Neurospora crassa OR74A: one gene and its partners. The protein of the gene in region 1 interacts with the protein of each later gene in a biochemical or structural test. Links are inferred from orthologs where the notes say so. Each region holds a gene or a part of one and is shown in the gene's direction. Other genes may lie near its edges. The genes, in order: rcm-1, NCU02121 and rco-1.

The links.
Region 2: the proteins of rcm-1 (region 1) and NCU02121 form a complex in vitro, tested with the Saccharomyces cerevisiae proteins (3 studies listed by BioGRID). The link is inferred for Neurospora crassa OR74A from reciprocal best matches to the Saccharomyces cerevisiae genes CYC8 and CTI6.
Region 3: the proteins of rcm-1 (region 1) and rco-1 form a complex in vitro, tested with the Saccharomyces cerevisiae proteins (6 studies listed by BioGRID). The link is inferred for Neurospora crassa OR74A from reciprocal best matches to the Saccharomyces cerevisiae genes CYC8 and TUP1.

The regions. Positions count from the first base shown.
Region 1 is NC_026502.1:1,786,973-1,794,257, reverse strand, and holds rcm-1 (RCM-1, variant), read left to right. Parts: upstream 1-2,449; 5' UTR 2,450-2,926; exon of another isoform or gene 2,927-2,997; 5' UTR 2,998-3,209; coding exon 3,210-3,360; intron 3,361-3,435; coding exon 3,436-3,639; intron 3,640-3,703; coding exon 3,704-3,786; intron 3,787-3,862; coding exon 3,863-4,042; intron 4,043-4,103; coding exon 4,104-4,196; intron 4,197-4,256; coding exon 4,257-4,413; intron 4,414-4,465; coding exon 4,466-6,351; 3' UTR 6,352-6,825; downstream 6,826-7,285. Other genes in the region: NCU06841 (hypothetical protein), read right to left, coding at 450-477. UniProt on the Saccharomyces cerevisiae protein: Acts as a component of the CYC8-TUP1 corepressor complex which is involved in the repression of many genes in a wide variety of physiological processes including heme-regulated and catabolite repressed genes.
Region 2 is NC_026501.1:1,171,887-1,179,180, reverse strand, and holds NCU02121 (transcriptional regulator), read left to right. Parts: upstream 1-2,674; 5' UTR 2,675-4,112; coding exon 4,113-4,705; exon of another isoform or gene 4,706-4,877; coding exon of another isoform or gene 4,878-4,888; coding exon 4,889-5,188; intron 5,189-5,241; coding exon 5,242-5,486; coding exon of another isoform or gene 5,487-5,537; coding exon 5,538-6,301; 3' UTR 6,302-6,705; downstream 6,706-7,294. Other genes in the region: NCU10232 (hypothetical protein), read right to left, coding at 1-394; NCU02122 (HCO3), read right to left, coding at 6,977-7,294. UniProt on the Saccharomyces cerevisiae protein: Component of the RPD3C(L) histone deacetylase complex (HDAC). Responsible for the deacetylation of lysine residues on the N-terminal part of the core histones (H2A, H2B, H3 and H4).
Region 3 is NC_026503.1:1,903,649-1,911,065, reverse strand, and holds rco-1 (transcriptional repressor rco-1), read left to right. Parts: upstream 1-3,614; 5' UTR 3,615-4,134; coding exon 4,135-4,267; intron 4,268-4,420; coding exon 4,421-4,502; intron 4,503-4,577; coding exon 4,578-5,469; intron 5,470-5,529; coding exon 5,530-5,997; intron 5,998-6,070; coding exon 6,071-6,310; 3' UTR 6,311-6,845; downstream 6,846-7,417. Other genes in the region: NCU06204 (hypothetical protein), read right to left, coding at 7,168-7,417. UniProt on the Saccharomyces cerevisiae protein: Acts as a component of the CYC8-TUP1 corepressor complex which is involved in the repression of many genes in a wide variety of physiological processes including heme-regulated and catabolite repressed genes.

The DNA.
Region 1 (7,285 bases):
GCTGCAAAGGCCGAAGTGCCCAGGGAAGATTGCGGAAAGAGCGGGGTACATAGTTAAATGACGGCCGCACATGGAAGTGGTGTCGAGCCTCAGATGGACGAGTGGAACACAGGGACAGCTTCCACTTCCACTTTGATAAACTACTTGCTCGGATTTGGGGAAAGACCTGGACTTCAGTCTGTAATGACACTGCGGCACGAGTCAGGAACTTGAAGCAAAACGTAAGGGGGAGGAACATCACCTGCCTCCCATCATATACCTCCACCCGGCACTCATGCTGTTGTGCGTGACGGACGTGTTTTTTTTGGCTCGGTGCGGTGCCGATCCACGGAGCTATTGTGCGCGGGTGGCCCAGGGTTTTGGAAGCTTTCAGGATGCCTAGCCGGAAGAGTACGAGATGATCGCTGATGGAATGGCTTCACTTGTTCGATCTGCATCTAGGCACGTACCACCAACGCCAGCCAGGCTGGTAAACATGTTCAACCGCACCATTCACGCTTTCCCTTTGAATGGGATTGAGAGTGGATTCGTGCACTCATCTGGTCGTCAAGGAGTCTGTTGGTTGGATACCGATGGATGCTAGCCAGTGATAGTTCACTCGTCCATTCCATGTACCTTTGTTTCTCCTTTGACGGCAGTATGTGTCCGTTGTCGCACACTAAGATCAGGGCAATGTTCGATTATACTGCGTATAGTCAGTCTAGCCAGACGATCGGTTTGAAGGCCTGACGAGTACCATGGTGTGGGTGTGGTATTCCCTATGGACACTCCGAGTCCCAAGTTGGCTCCTGCCATTAATAGGTAGCTTTGACATTGTACAGTCATGGAAGATACCTACGATACCTTTAGGAAAAACTTTAACCGTGGGTGTTGCGTGCTTCTACAGATTCTCCCAACCACACACCCACGGTTATTATTTCTGTTGGTCAAACTGGGGTGCAAGCTAACTGACATTTTCGTCCAAGTTTTCCGTCAAACAAAAGAAAGTGATTCAGATGAAGACAAGGGTGAATGCTGCAGGTTTTTTTTTTTTTTTTTTTTTTTTTTTTTTTTTTTTTTTTTTTTTTTTGGTATTCCTCCTGTGTTGTCATGTGATGTATTTGCTTCTCGGAAGTCCCTCGGTAGATAAGGTAAGTAATGGCATGGACCTTACCTATTTGCCCATGTATCAGCATGTCTGATCTTGTACATCCGATGCTGGGTACGGATATACTGAGATTCATTGTTGCAGGTCAATGAATGCAAGCGTAAAATGTGAAAAACATTCACCCTTGACGCATCCGAAGTGAAAATGCGAGGTAGGCGTATGCAAGGCGGCTGGGAGATTCCGTCCCGTTGTTTTCCGGTCTTGAAGGGCCAGAAGCACGGAGGAGGCTAGACTGCAGCGGAGAGTACATCATATCTTCCAACATGGATGCATATGTCCTTGCCCTACATTGCTTCTTCCGCTCATCTATCTTGCGACCAGACCACATAAACTACGAGCACTCTCGCGCGATGCCTGTGTACGTACCTACTGCTGTAGCGGATGATGGGAGAAGTGGTGAGAACCCAGACTGTAAAGCCGCAAACCTGAGTTCCAACATCAAGACGGAACATATATGATAGACGGCCTGAAGACAAGCTGGCCATAGTAGTGACCTGAGTTTCGTTCGGAAGCTCTTGGGCCTCTTCATCTCGACGGCATGTGGGAGTAGGTTGCTCTCTTGGTCTTGGACCAGGGGCACCTTCCCTTACCCAGACCCCTCACTCTACTCGAGACTGTACACTATGCTACTGCCTACAGACTTAGGTTGGCGGCAAGGACTCCAACTCGTGTTGTTTTCGATGTCTTGGAAATCATAGGTAGCTCTACCATTCTATGCCGGCTGTCTGGATACCTACCTACCATGTCTGGATAATCTCTAGGCGTGATACATATTGCCTCACCTCTGCCTCTACATTCTCATCGTGGTTCCTTGGCCTCGGCCAGGGGCAACCCAACCGCACTACGGGCAACAAGGGTCAAGAGTCCAGCTACTATGTAGTAGGTAGAGGTAGGTTCCGTTAGTTGGCTCGTGCTCGTGCTCGTCGCTCCAAGTACATCGGTACCTAGGTAGGTACACGGCACTAGGCACCCCGACCCCGGTGCAGCCAAGTGGAAGTGGACGGAAGCACCCCTGTGCCCACCTCGCCCCGCCCCAATGTACCGCAACCTGCCACGACCTGCCAGCCGTAACCGGGCTGGGCTGCCTGTGCCGCCAGGGCCTTGTGCAGCGCGTGTGGGTCACTTATCTTGGCGCGCCGTATGACATGCGGCACCAAGCGGAACCGGGAGCAAATTCCAAACTTACCTAGCCAAAAGTACGTACACGACGCCGTGGGTTAGGGGAGTTTGCAAAAGTGGTCAGAACTCCCCGTTCAGCGAATCGAGCTGCTTCCTGGCCGCCTTCCCCATTGCCTTTAGATCGCCTCTTCCCCAGCCAATTTTGCCCTTCCCCCTTCCCCTTCTTTTTCTCCCGTCTCCCGCCGCCTTCGCTGCCTGCATCGCGCACGACTCTTTCTGCGCAAACCACCACCTTGGACCTGATTCCATCCCAACTCAGCCGGTGTACCCCCTTCACACCAGCCAGCCATTGCCGCGAGCAATAATTTTCGCATTGCTCGTCTCGTCCAAATCTCCATCTCGAACAAAAAAGAGAGCACGACGTCGCCATTCCGACCTCGGTAGCTTGGGCGCATCTTGTCCAACTATAAGAAGCTGCGACAGGCTGCCGCCCTCTCGTCGCCTTCATTCGCAATCAACTTTTCTCGGTTTTTGACAATCGCGTCCGCCCAACAACACACAAGAACCGGGCGCTTCATCGTCACGACCATTGCATTGCTGACGCCGTCGCCACGTATCGTTGTGGTCCAGCCGCCCAAAGAGCAGAAGCCTAACAATTTGGTTGGTACAGTCATCGTGACTGACTGCGCATCTTGACAACGGCCCCTGACACCACCCTGCTACCTACCTAGTACCTACATACTATCCCCGTAGCGTCCCCGGGAACAGCTGCATGGGATACCAAGGCTGTATTGCTATCGCCTTGTGAAACTTTGAATTCTACCTCTACTGTTAAGTTGGGTCGGCAGCGCTACATTGGCTTCCGCCCCCGCCTCTTCCAATTTCCTATAGTCCATCGAGGAGCAACACGCCATCCACGCGCTACTCCTGCAACATCGCCCAAATGGCAAACCACCACCCTTCCCCTACGATGCAGATGCAAATGCATCACGGCCCGCCAGGGCCCCCAGGTCCACCGCCGGCGTCGATTCCTTCATGGAATCAACAGCGGCAGGCCTTTATGAGCTTGACCGAGAATGTGTGGATCGGAATCGGTATGTGCTTCCCACGCCGTTGTTGGCTGCCTCTTTAGGCTATTTTGTATGATGCTAATTTAGCAATCATGGTAGGTTCCGTGTCCGAGCTCATGGGGAACCACAACGAGGCACTAGAGGCTTATGAAAGGGCTCTTGCAGCCAACCCCAACTCTGTGACTGCTATGAATGCCGCCAGTCTCGTCCTTAGGACGCGCGAGGACTTCCCCAAGGCGTCGGAATATCTGCAGAGGATCCTAAAGATCGAGCCTGCAAACGGTGAAGCATGGGGCAGCCTCGGTAAGCAGCCCCCTATTCGCCACGTATATTTCAATAAATTCGGGTCCTAACTGTTGGTGTCTAGGACATTGCTTTCTCATGATGGAGGACCTCCAACAGGCATATGCTGCGTACCAAGCGGCCTTGGTTAACCTTCCCAACCCAAAGGTGCGTGCATTTGTACCTCTTGGGGTGCCTCTTTTCAGAATTGACAACGGTTTGGCTAACTGTCTGTTGATTGCAGGAACCGAGGCTTTGGTATGGCATAGGTATTCTTTATGATCGCTATGGCTCTTTGGACCATGCAGAGGAAGCATTCTCGCAGGTCATGGCCATGGACCCCAACTTCGACAAGGCTCATGAGATATATTTCCGTCTCGGCATAATCTACAAGCAACAGCATAAGTACCAGCAATCGCTTGATGTAAGTCGACAGCATTGTCTTGATAAGATCGGCATGAGACAGCCAGCTTACTCGTCAACAGTGCTTCAGATACATTGTCAACTCTCCTCCTACTCCTTTGACCGAAGAGGATATCTGGTTCCAGATTGGTCACGTCCATGAACAGCAAAAAGACGTAAGTCTGCTTTGCATTTTATACTTCTTTCCTCGACTCTTAATCCTGACGTTGTGGCAGTATGATGGTGCCAAGCAAGCCTACGAGCGAGTGCTGCAACGTGATCCAAAGCACGCAAAGGTCCTTCAGCAGTTGGGCTGGCTGCATCACCAGCAAAGTAATTCAGTCGCCAGCCAGGAAAAGGCAATCGAGTACCTGAATCAGTCCGTTGCAGCTGGTAAGTTTCGATGCATTTGGCTTCTTCATGCACCTATACTGACATAATCCAGACCAAACCGATGCCCAAAGCTGGTACTTGCTCGGTCGTTGTTACATGCAACTTCAAAAGTACCCTAAGGCATACGAGGCTTATCAGCAAGCTGTTTATAGGGATGGCAGGAACCCTACGTTCTGGTGCTCGATTGGTGTGTTATACTACCAGATCAACCAGTATCGTGACGCCTTGGACGCCTATTCCAGGGCCATCAGGCTCAACCCCTTCATTTCTGAAGTTTGGTATGACCTTGGCACTTTGTATGAGTCTTGCAACAACCAGATCAGCGATGCTCTGGACGCTTATCAACGTGCCGCCGAACTGGATCCCAACAACCCGCATATCAAGACCAGATTGCAGCTCCTCCGAAGTGGGCAAGCTAATGGCGGCGCACCCCCGGGGTCAGTCCCGATGCCCACTGATATCCACCCCCAGACGTATAATGCATCCGGTGCGGTTGGTCCTCCGGGCCCTCAGTGGGCGGGCTCAGGCTCAGGCCAGCCTCCTCATCAACCGCCTCAGCCGATGCACAACGGTGGCCCTGGCCCGGGCCAAGGGGCCAACTCGTGGGGTGGAAGAATTTCCGACATTAACCCTCCTCCCCAGCCGCCGAACCCATATGCCTCGGGTCAAGACCGGGAGCCCTTTCGTGGTCCCGCTCCGCCGCTTCCCAGACAGCCCAGCCCGCGACAGGAGCAGCAAATGAGGCCTTATCAGGAGGCCAGGGCGCCCGAGCCGCTCAGAAGAGGACCTACCCCTCCCCAGGCTCATTACGCCCCTCCACCCCCTCCACCTCCGCAACAACCGCACCAGCCGCACCCGCAGCAACAGCTTCAGCAAGGACCTCAACCTACTCGGGAAGGGGGTAGTGGTACTAGAGTGAGGAACCCGAACTACGCTAATCCCCAGAACGTGGTCCCTTCCAATTCTGGTCCTGGCCCAAACGGCCCTCCTCCTCCAAACGCAATGATGCATTTTAACAACAGTCCGAGGACTGATGGAAGACCACCCCACATGCACGAGAACCGCATGCCGTCTCCCAAGTCCGCCTATCCTCAGCATCAGCCGCCGTACCCTCCGCATGGTGAGCAGGGCGGTCCTGGTGGCCCTGAGCCAGGCCCTCCTCACCCCCCTCAGTCAGGTATGGCTGGTGAACCTCCTCATCAGAGGGAGCATGATCCCCGCCCTCCTTCGGTTGGCCCCAAGAGAATGCGTGAGTGGGAAGACGACCGGGAGGTGAAGAAGCCTGCGACGGAGGAGACTCGCGTCCGTATGGATGACCATAGGCACCGCCGCCCCTCGATGACCCCGCCCCGAATGGAGCCGCCCTATGCTCGTCGCAACTCGTCGGAGGCTCGTCGCTTCGACGAGCGTCGTATGGAAGATTCCCGTAGGGTTGAGGAGCAGCGCCGGGCTGAGGAACAACGTCGCATGGAGGACATGCGCCGGGCTGAGGAGCAGCGGCACCAGAACGAGGGATACCATCCTTCGGAGGCCGCTCATCATCCCCAGTCTCATTCCGCCCCTGCCCATTTGCCGCCGATGCAGCAAGGTTCGGCTCCGATGCAGAACCTCATCCACGAGCAAGGCCACGGACCCCAGCAGCCAGTCCCCGGACCTCAGCAGCAAGGCCCAGGCCCAGCACATCAGCCCGCCCCCGAAGACCGACGGATGGACCATCCTCCAGCCCAGCACCCCCCCATCGTCAATGAGCCTGAGCGTGCGGCCCGTAAAATGGACGTTGACGAGGACTATGACGATAGCGGAGAGGAGGACAAGAAGGGCGGAATTATTCCCGGTCCTTCCTCCGGATCCGGCCCTGCAGCAAACGAGTCCAAGAACGGAGCCTCAACGAGCGGTAGCTTCAACGGCATCATGGGACAAAAGTCAGAAAGCAACTGATTACATCATCTGCCGTGTACCTCGAGCTTCTGCGCGAGAGACAAGACCCAGTGTATCTGCTTATAATACGGCAGAGGTAGGAGAACCCAAGATCCTGTCGATGTCATAATGGTTTTGCTTATGGATGGGAATGTACGTCGACTTGTTCGTTTTATGTGGTTTGAAAGAGTGGTCATCATTTCACACACATGGATGATGGAGACAGAAGGACCTGTGAAGCTCAAGATCTCATGGGTGCGAAATGCACTATTTTACCACGTTTTGACTGACCGGTAGGAGATGAGGAGGGAGAGGAAGGAGCGGATTCCGATGTACATACATTATTATGACTTGTGTTTGGAATAGAAGCGTGTGCATGTCATCTGTTGGAAAGTCGACAGCGAGAAGGGAATGGGAATATCCTCAAGAGGCGGAAATGAACTCGCTGCTTTGCCATAGAGGCCAGTTAGAGAACATGATTACGATTGTCGTTACACTCTTGGGATCGTAATTGCAACGTCGTGATCATTCCCGCACGGGATACGGTGTTATTGAAATGGCTGAACGGCGCCTCAGCCCGAAAAGTCAAGGAGATGACAGCTAAGTGTAGTGCTTTCGTGGTTATCCCTTGTAACCAGTACGCCTTTGACCATGCATGTCCGCCTAATCATGTAATCATGTTAAGCCAACCCACTTGTTTTACATCTACGACTGTTATAATGCCCTTGTCCACGAGCTCGACAAGCTAGAGGTATTGAGTCAAGAAGCAGATGGGGCATTTGACAATGTCGTCATGCTTCTGACAGGCAGCTGACAACCCCAATAGATGGAGATCTCGCTTTGATCCAAACAGCCCAACCTAGGCTATTGAAAGCCACAACAGCTTGCTCTCTTTGACACCGTGGGCGCGGACATCGAATTCGGAGAATCAGCCGTGTGATCAAGATGGAGTCAA
Region 2 (7,294 bases), on another chromosome or scaffold:
CTTCATTTTCAGTCCTCGGTGACTGATGACCCTTGCGGTTCGATGGATCAGAGATCCCGTCATCGAGCAAGCTGTGTCCGCGCTCCGGTATGCCTTGTCTCGACGCAGCAGTATATCCCCCACTTTCTGCTAGTGGACCATCTCTTCTTGACTGGCGCGGGGCAGCCTCGGTGAGTCGCTCGCGAGGGGGAGTCGAAGTCTGGTCTGGTTCGTCATCTCGGATACTATACAGACTCGGGAACAAGGACGTAGAGATCGAAGGAGCTGGGGGGTATTGAATCGACTCCGCGGCTTCGGGGGTTAAACGGTCTCTGAGTGATCTCTTGGGCAGTGGATGGATTCTCCGTTCGCTTCGATATGCGGGCGACACCGACACCGTATCGGCGGAGGACATTCTTGTGACTTGCTCGTGTGCTCTGTCAGAAGCCAAATGCAAACGAATTAGCAACAGCAATGAAAGCCATTTGATGATTGGGAAGAAGTCATTTAAGAAGGCTAGCATTGGTGCCACACTGACTGAACAGCAACAACAAAAGAATGGCGGGACGAGAAGAAAGGCCGAGTGCAGGGCGAGGACAGAAGAGAGGCGCGGGGTTAGGACGGGAGGGGACTTGGGCGGACTCGACTGAAGAAGAGGTCGTTTGTTCATGCCGCGTAGTTCTGTGAAGTGGCCTTGGAAAGAAATCCAAGAATCGCAACGTGGAAGGCGCGTGCCTACGAACGTACCTTCAGGATATTACATAGTACCCAAGACAAGATGCTATCAACTTTCGAAGGAGCGCCAGCCGCCGAGGCACTTCACACGGAATATGCGTCAACCCGAGGGGATTCCCAGGCTGCTATAATCCGTATGATTGTGGAAGTTCTGTGATCCGGAGAACACCTTGGGAATACAAGTGGAAGGAAACGAAGGCGCCGACGTCGCTTTGGATGTATCCCTTTCTGCCCAAAAAGACTCATCAGCACCGAAGCCTTGGGAAAAGGAGGGGAAACGCCATGGCAGTTGTGTTCTCGTTGTTTATGCCTGGACCGGTAGATGAAATATTTTCTCCCCAAGTTGCCACCGCATCGTCTATCATAGCAAGAACTTCCTGAATCGTCGGGATACCACACCAAGGGACAAATGAAACAGCATGGCGGGGAAGGCGGCGAGAAGGGGGAGGGGGGGGGGGGGGGGGGGGGGGGGGAAATGAAGCCATACAACTGAGGGGACAATCAGCTGCTAATCACAAGCACCCACCTTCTTGGCTCGAATCTGGCTCGTGCGGATATCCGGTGGCCAGGTTGCAGGCAAACTCGGGGGAGAGCTATAGGAAGGCCAAAACAAAAGAAGCCAACTCAAACCAGCACTTTGCCCGAGTCAGTGAGACGGGTGTCGTGTATCGGTGCAGTGGTGTTGAGGGGTGGAAAGCAATGGAGTTCAGTGGTTGTGATTAGGAGAAGCGGGTGTTCACTGTAGTGAGGGCGGGCGGGATGGTAGGCGGGACCTAATCGACGCACCCTTGGCTGCATTATGTAAGCATCCCGTCCTTAACCACCTCACTGCAGTTGGTCGTCTGGACAGCGCGGGTTTCGGGCTGTGATTCTGAGGAGAGGGCAGCCAGAGGTCGGTGACCCAATGCCGCTGCCTGCCATGCTGCCAGAACCTAGAAGTACACCCGCTGTTCCGCCCCCGCCTTCCACTTGTAGTTCCCGGCCGGGGGAGCCTCCATTCGGTTTCCGGTTCCCATCCGAGTGAATAGCCTCACGCATGGCATTGGGTCTCTCCCCAACATGGAGAGATCAACGGAAACTGAGAGATCACCCAATAATGATACCCTAGAGGCCGACAGCAATCACGAACCGTCGAGCATACTGGTGTTCCCACGGGTACACTACTGGAGACTCCAAGGAACAGCCCCAAGTGAGATGCTGAATTTCCATACCGTGACCTCTCTAGCTACTGTACTGAGCTACCTGTACGTTTTTCGATTTCCCAAATCCAATTGGAAGATCATGGGGAAGTACCGAGTCGACTGATGTTGACCCATTAACTACCTCTAGGTACCAGCTAGTGTACCTTGGCTTGACTTCCCCAGCAACCGAGCTTCTTTCTGGGTGGGCAAGTCTCTCTGTCTCTACTTACCATAATCATCGCCGTGCACACTCACATTGAAAGCGACCTGAATGGAGGCCGGGTTGTGGGCGGCGGTTCCTGAATGCCGGACGCACTGTGCTTACACTAGTACTAGTACAGTATTCGAGCAAGAGCCAAGCGTTTTCCATCACAGGCAGAACACTGCGGTGCCGGTGCCATTCATAGGTAGTTGCATCTGATTTGATGCCGCCCTGACAACACCATGTACTGCCATTTTCCCTTTGAGAAGCAAACGAGACCCATTCGACGACGGTAGGTGCAATTTCACTTGGAAAGCTTTGCTCAACTCGACAACAACCTGAACCAGACCCGACCTGCAGCGAGCAATGAACCGAACCCCCGCCTCCCCTTCAGGTTCCCATTACCCCAAATAATTTCCCCTTGTGTGCAACAACGAGTTTCGTTGTCTTCCACCATCGATGTTTGTTTGAACCACATTTCACTTCAAACCCTTTTCGGTTTTCAAGATGCCCCTTATTCTCTTGTCGGTCCAGGTTGGACACGGGCTTCACCTATTGAGGCGTGATGTCATAGCACGAACCCTCCCCGACGGACGGTACCAGTAATTCACCACTCTACGGCCTCTACATACCTATGCATACGACTTTCTTACATCAAACTATATCTACTCGTCTCTGGAAACTGAACAGCATCGACAAGCCGGCTTTCGACGCCGCATCCCAGAGATCATTGATATCCTGGTCGAGCTGGCCCATTATCTTTTTCCCGGCACCGGATTGGTCAACATGGGGACCGAGCTTCCAGATGGCCCCGCACGCTTTGGCGCTGCCACTGCCGCTACCGTGAGGAGGAGTGAGGAGGTGCCTGAGTGACGGACGGGATCAGACCGGGGTTGGTGGGTGGGTGGGCGGCAGCCAGAGTGGGTGCCCGGGCGGACAGCTTTCTGCCAAAATTTACTGCAAGCAACTGCAAGAGCGCCGTGTCGGGTTGGTGGTGGTGGTGGTGGTGGTGGTGGTGGTGCATCGTGGTGCCGTGGTGCGGTGCGGTGGTCCCGTCTTTTTTGGGGCTGGCAACTCGACTAGGTCCCGGGCTCGGTTTCCACCATTGTACACACACCAAGAGAGACCAGCCATCGCTTCCTCCTTCCAGGCAGTGCCGTCCTCGCTCTCCTCTTTTCTGGAAATCCTCACCACGTACACCCTGGGCCACAGACACGAAAACCCGACTTGTCGAACTTTGTTATTTCCGTCATGAGAAATAGTTTACCACCCACCTACCACGTCGACCACCGCTCCCCGATCTCCAATTTGGCGTAGCCAGCACTTCGGATCCCGTCATAGACATCTCGTCTCGCCGTCCTCCGTCCCCTCTTCTTCGTTTTTTTTCCCACCCTCGTACCCGCTCAATCTTTTACCCAAGTTAGCAGCGAACGAGTCTTGCTTTCGTGGACATTTACACAAGCAAGCCGGCGACATCCTCATCTCGAGCACGCCCCCGATCGAGCACCCTCCTCACTTGGCTGGATTTTCGACCTGAGCCCTCGCGATCCTCCGCCGTCGGTCGATCCATCCTCGATAATTTACGCTTCTCTACCACCAAGCACCGGCTTCAAGCTACGATTCGAACCTAGCACGAGTCTCATAACCTCGACACCTTCGATTGCATCTTTACTCGACGATTGTGTCAGATTCAATTTGCGGTCGAGACTCGGCCTCGTCGAGTCCTCGCTTCTCCGTGACCACATCGACAGACGACCGCGTGATTCGGGTCTGCTCCCGCCATCACGCCCCATTACTTCTCCGACCATCCACATCGCAATTGTCGAGCTTCAAGTAAAACGAAATTGTTTTAGTGCTAGGGTGCGTCATTGTCCCCAGGCACTCCGGATACCCGACCGCAGAACCCCCTCCCAACGGGCCTGCGGATCGCGTTCTTCTCTTCGACACCAATCGTGTCGATTATATACCCTACATACTTCGAGCTCCTGCCTTGACTGCGGCCCCAGCTGCAAGCAATGGCAGGGTCCGATCCGAGGCGGTCGTCAAGAGCGCGAACCTCCCAATCACAATCGCAAATCTCGTCCAGCACGTCCAGCACGTCAGGTCGTGGTGAGCGCAGCACCAGGTATTTCAACAAAGCTGTCTCACCACAAAAGTCAAGCTCCTCGGGATCGCTATCCTCTGAGGCTCCAGACGAGACAATTACAGCGGACGACTCGTTTGGTACCCGGCGTCGTACCCGCGGTCAGCAGGAAGAAAGAGAGAGGGCAAATAACAAGTCTGAGCAGGTCGAAATGGCACACGGCGACGATGACGCTCAAGACGAGGACGAGGCCGTTCGTTGCATTTGCGGCTACGAGGACTACCCAGGCCCTCCGCCGTTTGACGAAGACTCCAAGCATGGCTTGAAGGACGGCATGGATATCGATCCCATATTCGCGACCGATGTCACCGACGATGCGGCCGGATTTTTCGTACAATGCGACATTTGCAAGGTCTGGCAACATGGCGCCTGCGTTGGCATTATGACCGAAGAGTCAAGCCCAGACGAATATTTCTGCGAAGAGTGCCGCAAAGAATTCCACAAAATTTTCACAGCGAGCAACGGGTAAATCTTGCATTTCTTTGGTCCCGTGGCTGCATGGTCGGGAGCTGAACGTCAAAAGTTCAGCTGGAGTGCGTCAAAGCCCATCACACGCCTTTGACGTTGCCTCACCTTTCATGCAATATCCTCCTCCATCCACGACAATTGTCAAATCACTCTCCAGTCGACTGACGACATGATTCACAGACAACGCTATTCGCACTACCTACCCCTTAAGCGCCCCTCTCGAACCACTTCTAGATCCGCCTCTCTCAACAAGGATGGCACGAGATCACCGCCCAAAGATAAACCGGAGGGCCGCAACGGACGTGGTACGACCACTTCCTCCGCGTCGAAGCGAAGATCTACAATGAACAGCCGAGGCGCTGACTACGACGAAGCTGAAGCCCTGAGACGGGCGATTGAAGCAAGCAAAGAAGATGCAGCTTCTGAACAACCCGAAACTACCACGAGAAGAACAAAGCGAGGCAGAAGCGATAGCGAAGAGTAGGTCCACGTCCTACGCTGCCCGACATCAATAACCGCTAACCCTCTTCAAGAAAGTCAGAAAACAAGAGGCAGAGGACGAGCTCTCGATCGGCCTCTCCTAGCCTTGACAAGACCACTGAGGACTCTGACGACGCCGGCACAACAACGCGGAATGGTGCAAAGTCTAGATCGCGGGGCGGCGTAGCAGGCCGCACTCTGCGCACCGAGAAGACAACTGAAAAAGAAGAACGCGAACGACAAAGGGCTGAGGCAGCAAACAAGCGAAAGGGTAGAGCTGAGCGCCGGCGAGCTGATGGTACGAAAGCCACGACTCTCGCGAAGGCATCTGGAATTGACACAGATACAGATTCAGACCCTTCGGACGAGTTACCACTAGCAGCTCGTGCGGCAGTGAACAAGACGCCCGCTACAACGACACCGGTCGCAGCCGCCACCGCCGTGACCACTACAACGACTACTACTACCACTACTATGGCTACCCCTGCCGCTGCGGAAGAACCGGCAGAACAAGAAGAACAATCACCAGCGGTACCCGAACCCCCTCCTGCCTCACAGTCCACTCCGGAAGACCCTCCCGCTGCAGCTACTCCCACAGCCAAGATTGAGAAGAAGCGATCACATAAGAAGAAGGGTCGCAATCAATACACACGTGATGACAACGAGCCATCGCCTGCAAGATCACAGTCAGGGGAGGCACCAGCTGAAGTACCGCCTCCTCCGAAGCCAAGTAAGGCCGAAGAGAAGGCTACTGGACACGGAAAACAAGGGAAGAATAAGGGTGGGATGAACAGCAAGATCACCATGACTGACATGAAGAGGAGGGCCGCAGCACTCCTTGACTTCATTTCGCGAACCCAAGTTGAGCTTGCTGGCGAGTCACCATCGGATGATGACAAGACGAACGGCAACAGCGTCGCACCACAGTTAGCAACTGACTGTGAAAAGCCAGGGTCGGCAACAGGCATACTCGGGGTCAATTGCTCGACCCCAGCCGCTGTCATGACTTCAGAAGGGCAGCTAGGAAAGGATTTCAAGGACCTCAGCTGCGTGGAGATGATGGACAGCTTGACCCGGAGGTTGGTCAAGTGGCAGCAGGAGTATACAGTGTGATACAATGAGCGGATAATGGATGTTATACTTGATGTGCATGTGGCATGGATTACGTCGGATAAAGGCTGATGATAACTTGCACGTTTTCGATTTTGGGTTTCTTTTTTCTTTTCCACTTTCGTTTGTCTTGGTGTTTTCTCGGGCAGAACGGTGCTATCATTAGGCAGGTTTTTGCGATGATTGGATGCTTTCGAAGTTTTATATCGAGAGTACTCGGGATAGCTGTATCCTCCCTTCCACCTACTGACGACGTGGGCGAATGGGTGGTGAGGCCAGCGATGCATTTATTGGGGCGTTTTTTTTTTTTTTTTGGGTTTAAACAGGATAATTGGTTCTGGTAGTACCTAGGACGGCGTGGGTATCATTGATAACGGAGTATAGAGTTTTCAAGAATTTCATCACCTAGGTTTATTTTGCCATGATGCTATTTCGTTCGTGTGTGGGTATCAACCATCATGCTCTCTCGTTGTTATTTGGCCTTTGATGCTATGCTCGTACTATGCCATGCCTGCTCATGCTCATGCTATGCTATTAAATCATTATCGTGTCGAATTCATCGCCGTACATGTATCATCCGTCCAACGTTCAACTACACGCCTTCAAACTTTTCTTTTCTTCACTCGCGTAATACAGCAAAACAAACCCTTGAAACATTCACCACAAAATCATCCAAGATCACCTCTGCTTCTCCTTCACACCCTCATTGATCATCCCCGTCGACGTCATCGCCAGTCCCCTCTCCACGTCGTCCTCACCCACATTTGCGCTCGCACTCACATTCTCATCACCACCACCCCTCTCTCCCTCTCCCCTCGCTGCTTTTTCCTCCTCACTATCCTCCGGCTTCCCCGGCCTACACGCCCACCCATCCACAAACCTCAACGTCTCCCTGCCCCATATCCTATTCATGATCCACAGCCTCACGGGGACCAAAATGATGATAATCACCGGAAACCCCGGCGCCGCGACCGTCAAGGTCACGCCGAAGATGAT
Region 3 (7,417 bases), on another chromosome or scaffold:
GGAAACACTTCAAGAACCGCACTAGAACATCTGCTACCAAAGCTAACCCAAAAGACATATGGTAAACGCCTTGAAGCCATCGCGAAACACCAAAGCTCAGCTATGGTAGCATTGAGGGTGATTTCTGCGGCAAAGGGGCAACTCTTGGTTACAAGGGACCCTGAATCTTGTCACTGCAGACTCAGTTTGTGAAGAAACCTCGTTCACAAAGGTCTTAAAACGCCAGCGCGAATCAGTTTTATGATGTGCATCCAAATTCCTCGTTTCACAGCACCTCGTGAAAAGACCTCATCTTTGACCGAACATGCACGAACAATTTATTATTGCTTTGATAGCATCCAGCAGTGAATGGCGGCTGCTGATGACTAGAGAAACAACGCCAAGACAACAGCAACCAGTTGAAACAGTCTTCCAGATTCCCAAACCGTCATCCCCGAGCTACCGAAGCCGAGAGCCGAGCTGTCAAGGCTCCCTTCCGGGTCCTACCTGACCTTGGGACTCATCACTCGACTGCAATTTCTGTGCCCCCCCTTGTTTCGTTGACCCCTCAACCAATCCAAAATTGAAATGTTTCAAGATTGTGGCGAGGAACTTGCCCTTCCCAATGGGCGTTCAGCGGGGCATACGGGGCTCGCTTAGAACTGAAGAAAGAGAAAGGGGGCAACAGCGGCATGGTGTGGCCCGCACACCGTAAGATCTGATAAGATTAGATCCAAATGAACCTGGATACACTCTATGTACTCGACATATCGGGTCAGTGCGCTGATCAGATTCGATGTTCCCATCAAAACGTCTTTGTTGCAAGTTGTAAAGTGGGCAAACTTTGATCCGAATTGGTTTTTTTCCCAACCCACGTGCCGCTCTGACCTCCCCTCGGAGCGACTGCTGGATTGACATCGGATGAAACAGATTGATTCGATGGGATGGGTAAGGTGAGTCCAGTCAACCCAAGTTCCCAAAGCTGAACATCCACTTGTCTGGCAATCAGCACTCTGAGGACAATGTATACATGTGGCTGTTGCAGGGACTCTCTGTCGAACCACAACACTGGCAGAAGCTGGATACATTGCGCTATGCAACCTGCTCCTGGTACTTCCCCCTGCCTGGGTGAGATGATGGCCTCTTTGAAGCGAGGCAATGTTGAAGCATGCGACATAGCCAGCTAAGCAACAACTGTCTGGGGCGTATATCATCAACACATCGCTCAGGGTCTCTCCACAGAAACCGACTGAACGAGTATTCAATCGCTGAACAGTTGATTGAAACATGGGAATTATCTTCGTACTCGACACCCAGCCTGACGCAAGGACCACCAGATATACGAGACAGTGTGACATGCAAAGGCAGAATCATGTGTTGGTCAGAACCTTAGTGATCCTTCACATTACTGACTCGCGTAGTAGCCTGTTTGTGGCTGGATTGTGTAGCCAGGCTGGAGCCAGTACATTTGGGCGTTGGAGGATAAAATACGGTCTGTCCGCCGGTTCATTCGACATCGGAGGTTGAACTAGGAACGAGGTCCTGACCAAGTCGCAAAAAAAAAAAAAAAAAAAAAGGACCAGAGCGCGGAAGTACAAGGGAACATGAAGGAAGATAGAGGTGACGGATTCACTGGTTTTGTTCGGGTTTGGTACCACATCACAAAAGAGGGGAAGGTGATGTATGCGCTTCCGATGACAAGATTAAACCAACGAAGACAGGTAGCCAGGTACACTTGGCCACAGTCGATAGAGACCTGGATCTACTGTCGCTATCTGCGCTACAAGCGGGGTTTGTTGAGGCTTCAATGATTATAGCCGCTGGGATATCGAAAGGTAGGGGACGGGGTGGCTCCATAAGGCTACACCTGCGATCGATGGATGTCTCCTGTTGTGGTGCGCTTGCTCAGATCTGAAACGGGTCAAGAGGTGTGTAAGAGGGTGCACAGGACAACTCACCGAGAACAGAAAGTCATTGTTTTTCGTGAGTTGACGTTGCTCGAAGATTGCCAGGACAAGTTGAAAGCAATGGTCCTAGTTCGTACTCCTGCTTTGGACCAATTGGCAGTTTGTGTATATTTATTAGATACACCACGCAGCGGATCATCATGGCGCGCGTGATTGCACATCGTTGAGCGGGCCGCAGCTCTCACAAAATGAAGCAAAACCGAACCTGGGGGAGCGTTCGTAGAAGATACCTAGGTCGTCTGAAGGAGGCGAGTTTGTGTTCCTGTATATTGAGGGTCAAAGTCCATCTCAAAAACTATGCCTGATTGAGGTGCTAAATCGATATCGTGCAGACCGAGTGCGTTATGGTGTGCTGTATGCCGTAGCATTCATCGCGGTGGCAGTGGGAGTTGAGGTTGTGTTTGTGCAGTGGTTTGCATTGTTTCAAAACCGCATGTGTAAGCGCTTGGACGATGGTTTCTGCCCCACGGTACTGTAGTGTACGTAATGCCGTGGAGACCACTCTGTGGTTTTGTCTGGAGTTTTGCGCCTAATGGCAGACGCCTCGCAATCACCTGGTTTTAAAAACCAACGGATGAAGGGAATGTTTTCCTTATCGACACTTGCAGTAGAGGTAGTCACTGTTTGCAAAGGTAGCCTCTCAGGATACCCGTCGCTGATTGCCCGCCTGGATCAATCCGAACTTGGGAAGATGAAAAAAGGCAAGAAAGAGTTTCCAATGTACTGTGTACACCTTTGCTGGCAGCAAACTTGTTAGCGCGCTACCGCCACCGGACAGTATATAGGGGCTTAGATGTGGTCAAGCTAGCCATCTCTTGTACGAAAATTAAGTTCTCGCCACCTACAGATCACCGCGCTAACAAATTTTATGCTGACACAGGTGCAGTGTACAATCGTACGTGCATCTACCAGCTACCTTGTGCTCGTAAGTGACAAAGCCCAACCACAGGACGCGGTGAGCAGACATCGAGGGGTGAGTCCGTCAATGCACTCCCCCAACCCGGGCCGACCTTCTTTCGCTTTCCGGGAATGGAACCATCACAGCAGTGACCAGGGCGGCACCTCTACGTAACTGGCGCACGAACACTGACGACTGGGTCTCCAGAATCTCGTAGATCCACTCTTGTGCAGATGCTCTCCACAATCGCACTTCTGGCCTTACCATTCCATATTCTACGCCTAGGTAGGTAACACAGGGAACCCTAAACCCTGCTATCCATGTCGGAACTCGTAGCAATGGCGGGTGGCTCATGGACTATGCGAGGTACTATGCGAGGTACTGCCTGGAGCACTTTGCAAGCTCAGTGACTTGTCCGTTTACCGACGACATCAAAGGAAGCCACGTACCTCTCGGTCGCAAGATACGACGAAAGTACCTTCGTTCCGTCCGATGTACACTACATGCACTAGGTAGGTACTAAGTGCGTGACCGGTGCCACCCTCCACAGGCCACAGGCTGACAAGTGGAACTGCGAGCTTGCTGCCCTGTCCGCAGCCCGTCGGCAGCCCGCCTCCCTGTCCTCCCAAGAAGGAAGTCCAAGACCCAAGTGCCCGCAGCCGCTGGAGGTGGGAGTGGTGTCGCTGGCTGCAAGTCCATGGGAATCCACACCGGGAGCCGCCCCAGAACCCGCACGCCCAGGTCATTTCTGCCACCTGCTGGCCATTCCACTTCTTTTTCCTTCTCCTCCCCCCTTTGGCAACACTACTCCGGAGCAACACCAGCATTTGCAGCCTGCAGCCCTAACTGCTTCGCTCAAGTCCTCCCAACAACAAACATCGGAATTGGCGCAACGCCAGCATCACCATCCCCATCAACCCCTCGGATCCCGTCATTGGCCCTTGGTTGTGTACAGTGCCATTCGACTAGGGATTCCGAGCCCCCCTCGCGGTCCCCATCTTTTGCGTCTTTTCGCGCTGCGATCCGTCCCGCGCGCACGCCATCCCAACGCACGGTAGCTCGACGCTCGTTCCGACCTCACGCCGGCTGCACTCCAGCTGCGTCATCTTACGAGCCAGCCGCCTTTGTATCATCGGTCGCATCCCTCGTTCTCGCTTCCTTCAGCCGATTGCTGTCTTGAGCTTTCGCAAACCTGCGCGACCGCCCTAGCGTTCCCGGCTTGGATTTCTGTCCGTTTCTCGTCGGCTTCACCAAAACATAGCACGCGGACAACCGCCCCAACTACGCAAAATGTCCATGTATCCGCACCGACCCATTGCGGGCGCGCCCATTCAGAACATGGGTCGCCTCAACGAGCTCCTCGATGGCATCAGAATGGAATTCGAATCACAAGCTCGCCAGTACGAGACCTGCCAGCATGATTGTAAGGGTTTCTCCACACATCCCTCCGCTGGGTGGCCATCCTCCTCCCATCTGGCAACGAGGGAATCCAGCTGTACATGGTGATGCGGGCTGTTTCGGGCCTGTGATCAGCGACTTAGGCTTTGGGACGTGTACCCGGCTGACCAGACAATAGTGGCAACGCAGCTTCAGGAGCTTCAGGTCATCCGTGAGAAAGTCTTCCAGATGGAGCAGCACCAGATGAACGTAAAGCAAAAGTAAGCCAGTCAAACAAAAAACCCGGTCAAGCATATCCGAGACTCGAAAGAAGTAGGCTGACAATATCCGGCCAGGTACGAGGATGAGATTGCGCTGCTGCGTCGCCAGCTTGAAGCCCGCGGAGGCGCTCCCGGCAACATGAACCCGCCTCCACAGCATCCTGGCCAGCAGCAGCCCCCTGCTATTGGTTTGGGAAGCAATGTCTTTAGCGCGATCATGGCAGGTCAGGGCGGGCAGGCCTTGGTCCCTCCTCCCCCTCCACCGCAGCAGCAAGAACAGCCAGCACATATGCCTGCGCCCCCTGGGCTGCAGGGTCCTCCTCCCCCGCCCCCGCCGCCGTCTCAGCAGCCTCCCTTCCAGCAGCAGTATCAAGGGCCCCAGGGACCTGGTAACTTTCCTCCCCAGCCGCCCCAGAGCACTGCCTCTCCTGGCCCTGCCGGCAAGCGTGGCATCGGCAGACCTCCCGCTGGCGGCCCGGCTACTCCTCAAATCAACACTCCCATCCCGTACAACGGCGGCCCTGCTCAGTCGCCCCAGGTCCCAACCCATCCTACCCCGGACCATACCCGGATGGCTCAGCACCACCAGCCTCCTCCGCCTCCGCCTTCTCAGACCAACGCTTTGAGCGAGCTTGATCCCGACCGCCTTCCGAATCACATCAAGAAGATGAAGGACGATTGGTGGGTTATCTTCAACGCGGCCGTTCCCAGGGTACTAGACGTTGAGCTGGTTCACACTCTTCAGCATGAGAGCGTTGTTTGCTGCGTGAGGTTCAGCATGGATGGCAAGTACGTTGCCACGGGCTGCAACCGTTCCGCTCAGATCTACGACGTGGAGACTGGCGAGAAGCTTTGCATCCTGCAGGACGAAAACATCGATCTTACTGGAGATCTTTACATCAGAAGCGTCTGCTTCAGCCCTGATGGCAAGTATCTTGCCACTGGAGCCGAGGACAAGCTCATCAGAGTACGTGTCAATGCCTTAGCCAACTGTTGTGGTCTTCTCTTGCTAACATGCTCGATATAGGTCTGGGATATTCAGTCGAGGACCATTCGTAACACCTTCCATGGCCACGAACAAGATATCTACAGTCTTGACTTTTCTCGCGATGGTCGCACTATTGCTTCCGGCAGTGGTGATAGAACCGTCCGTCTTTGGGACATTGAAACCGGGCAGAACACGTCTGTCCTCTCTATTGAAGATGGTGTCACGACTGTTGCTATCTCGCCCGACAAGCAATTCGTTGCTGCCGGATCCCTGGACAAGAGCGTCCGTGTCTGGGACATGAGAGGCTACCTTGCGGAGCGTCTTGAGGGCCCCGACGGCCACAAGGACAGCGTCTATAGTGTTGCTTTCTCTCCTGATGGCCGCAACCTTGTCAGCGGCAGTTTGGACAAGACCATCAAAATGTGGGAGCTTAGTGCTCCGCGCGGTATTCCTTCTTCGGCACCTCCTAAGGGTGGGCGCTGCATTAAGACCTTCGAGGGCCACAGAGTACGTTTACACATTAATATCCCCATTGGCCATTCCTCTACAATCTTGCTAACGTGTCAATCACTTGTCACAGGATTTCGTCCTCAGCGTTGCACTGACCCCTGACTCGCAATGGGTCCTCTCTGGTTCCAAGGACCGCGGTGTTCAGTTCTGGGATCCCCGTACCGGCCACACACAGCTCATGCTCCAGGGACACAAGAACTCGGTCATCTCCGTGGCGCCCAGCCCAGTGACTGGTCCCAACGGTGTTGGGTACTTCGCTACCGGATCTGGTGATATGCGGGCCCGCATCTGGTCTTACTCTCGGATATAGAAACACCAGCGGAGTTGCAATGCGAACCCTAGATTCGACCCAATCCATCATTTTTGGGATTCTAGAGGGAAAGAGTAGATCAGCGATACAAGGAAGGAACGAAGAGGGAGAAAGTGTGTTCCCTGGTCGATATTGTGATGTGGACACGGCGTCAAGGATATTTCTGAAATGAATTAGGAAGGACAACAGAAAGGAATAACGAGAAAGAAATTTTATTAGTTCAAGTTTTATCCCGTTTTGCTTTTCCAAGGTCACGTCCTTTTCTTGGGCCTTTGTTTGATACATGCCTTTTGGTTATGACTTATGGACTTGCACACGTTGGGTAGGAATAGGCCGTATTGCCATGCCTGAGAGGGATACGACCCACGTTCGTTTATTGGGTATGGATGGAGGACGATTGCAGAACATAGGACGTGGCCATCCTGGGTCTTGTTCGATGTTCAAGCTGGCTCGTTCAAGATTGTCTCCCGATATCATATCTAGCAAATCAGTCAGTAGTAGCGGATCAATTTATCTTGCTCTTTGTGTTGAAGCCTTCACTCGACCTCTCTTGATTGGTTCACTTAGAAAGCTGCCAGGGGCCAAGTAAACAATGTGACAGCGTGGTGGTGTAGTATATAGATATAGTATTGCTATGAGAAAACCAGAAGGGAGAGGCAAATGCAAGGACCGAGCACTTATCGATGACCATGTAGCCTTTGAAACAAACAAAACCTCAAGATGCATCGAATTGGTAACTGTACTTGAAGCAATCCAGAGCTACTCGTTCGTGTCTACAAACCTGGTATACCCATCACCAACAATAACAGGCGAGTGAGTATACTACGTAGGTGCCTAGTCAACTATGCAGCGCCTTTTCATAACCCCCCAAAGATATCATCAAACTCGTCCGCTCCCGCTCCCGCCCCCGCCTTCTTTTTCTTCTTCTTCGTTTTGGGCTTGTCGAACGAGGCAAATATGTCATCTAGGTCATCCGTCTTCTTGACCTTTGTCTTTTTCTTTTTGGGCTTTTCGAGGGAAGCGAAAATGTCGTCAAGATCGTCTTTGCCATGTTGTGTTTCGGCTTCTGCTGGCGTTGTTGTTGTTGTTGTAGTTGTAGTTGGTACC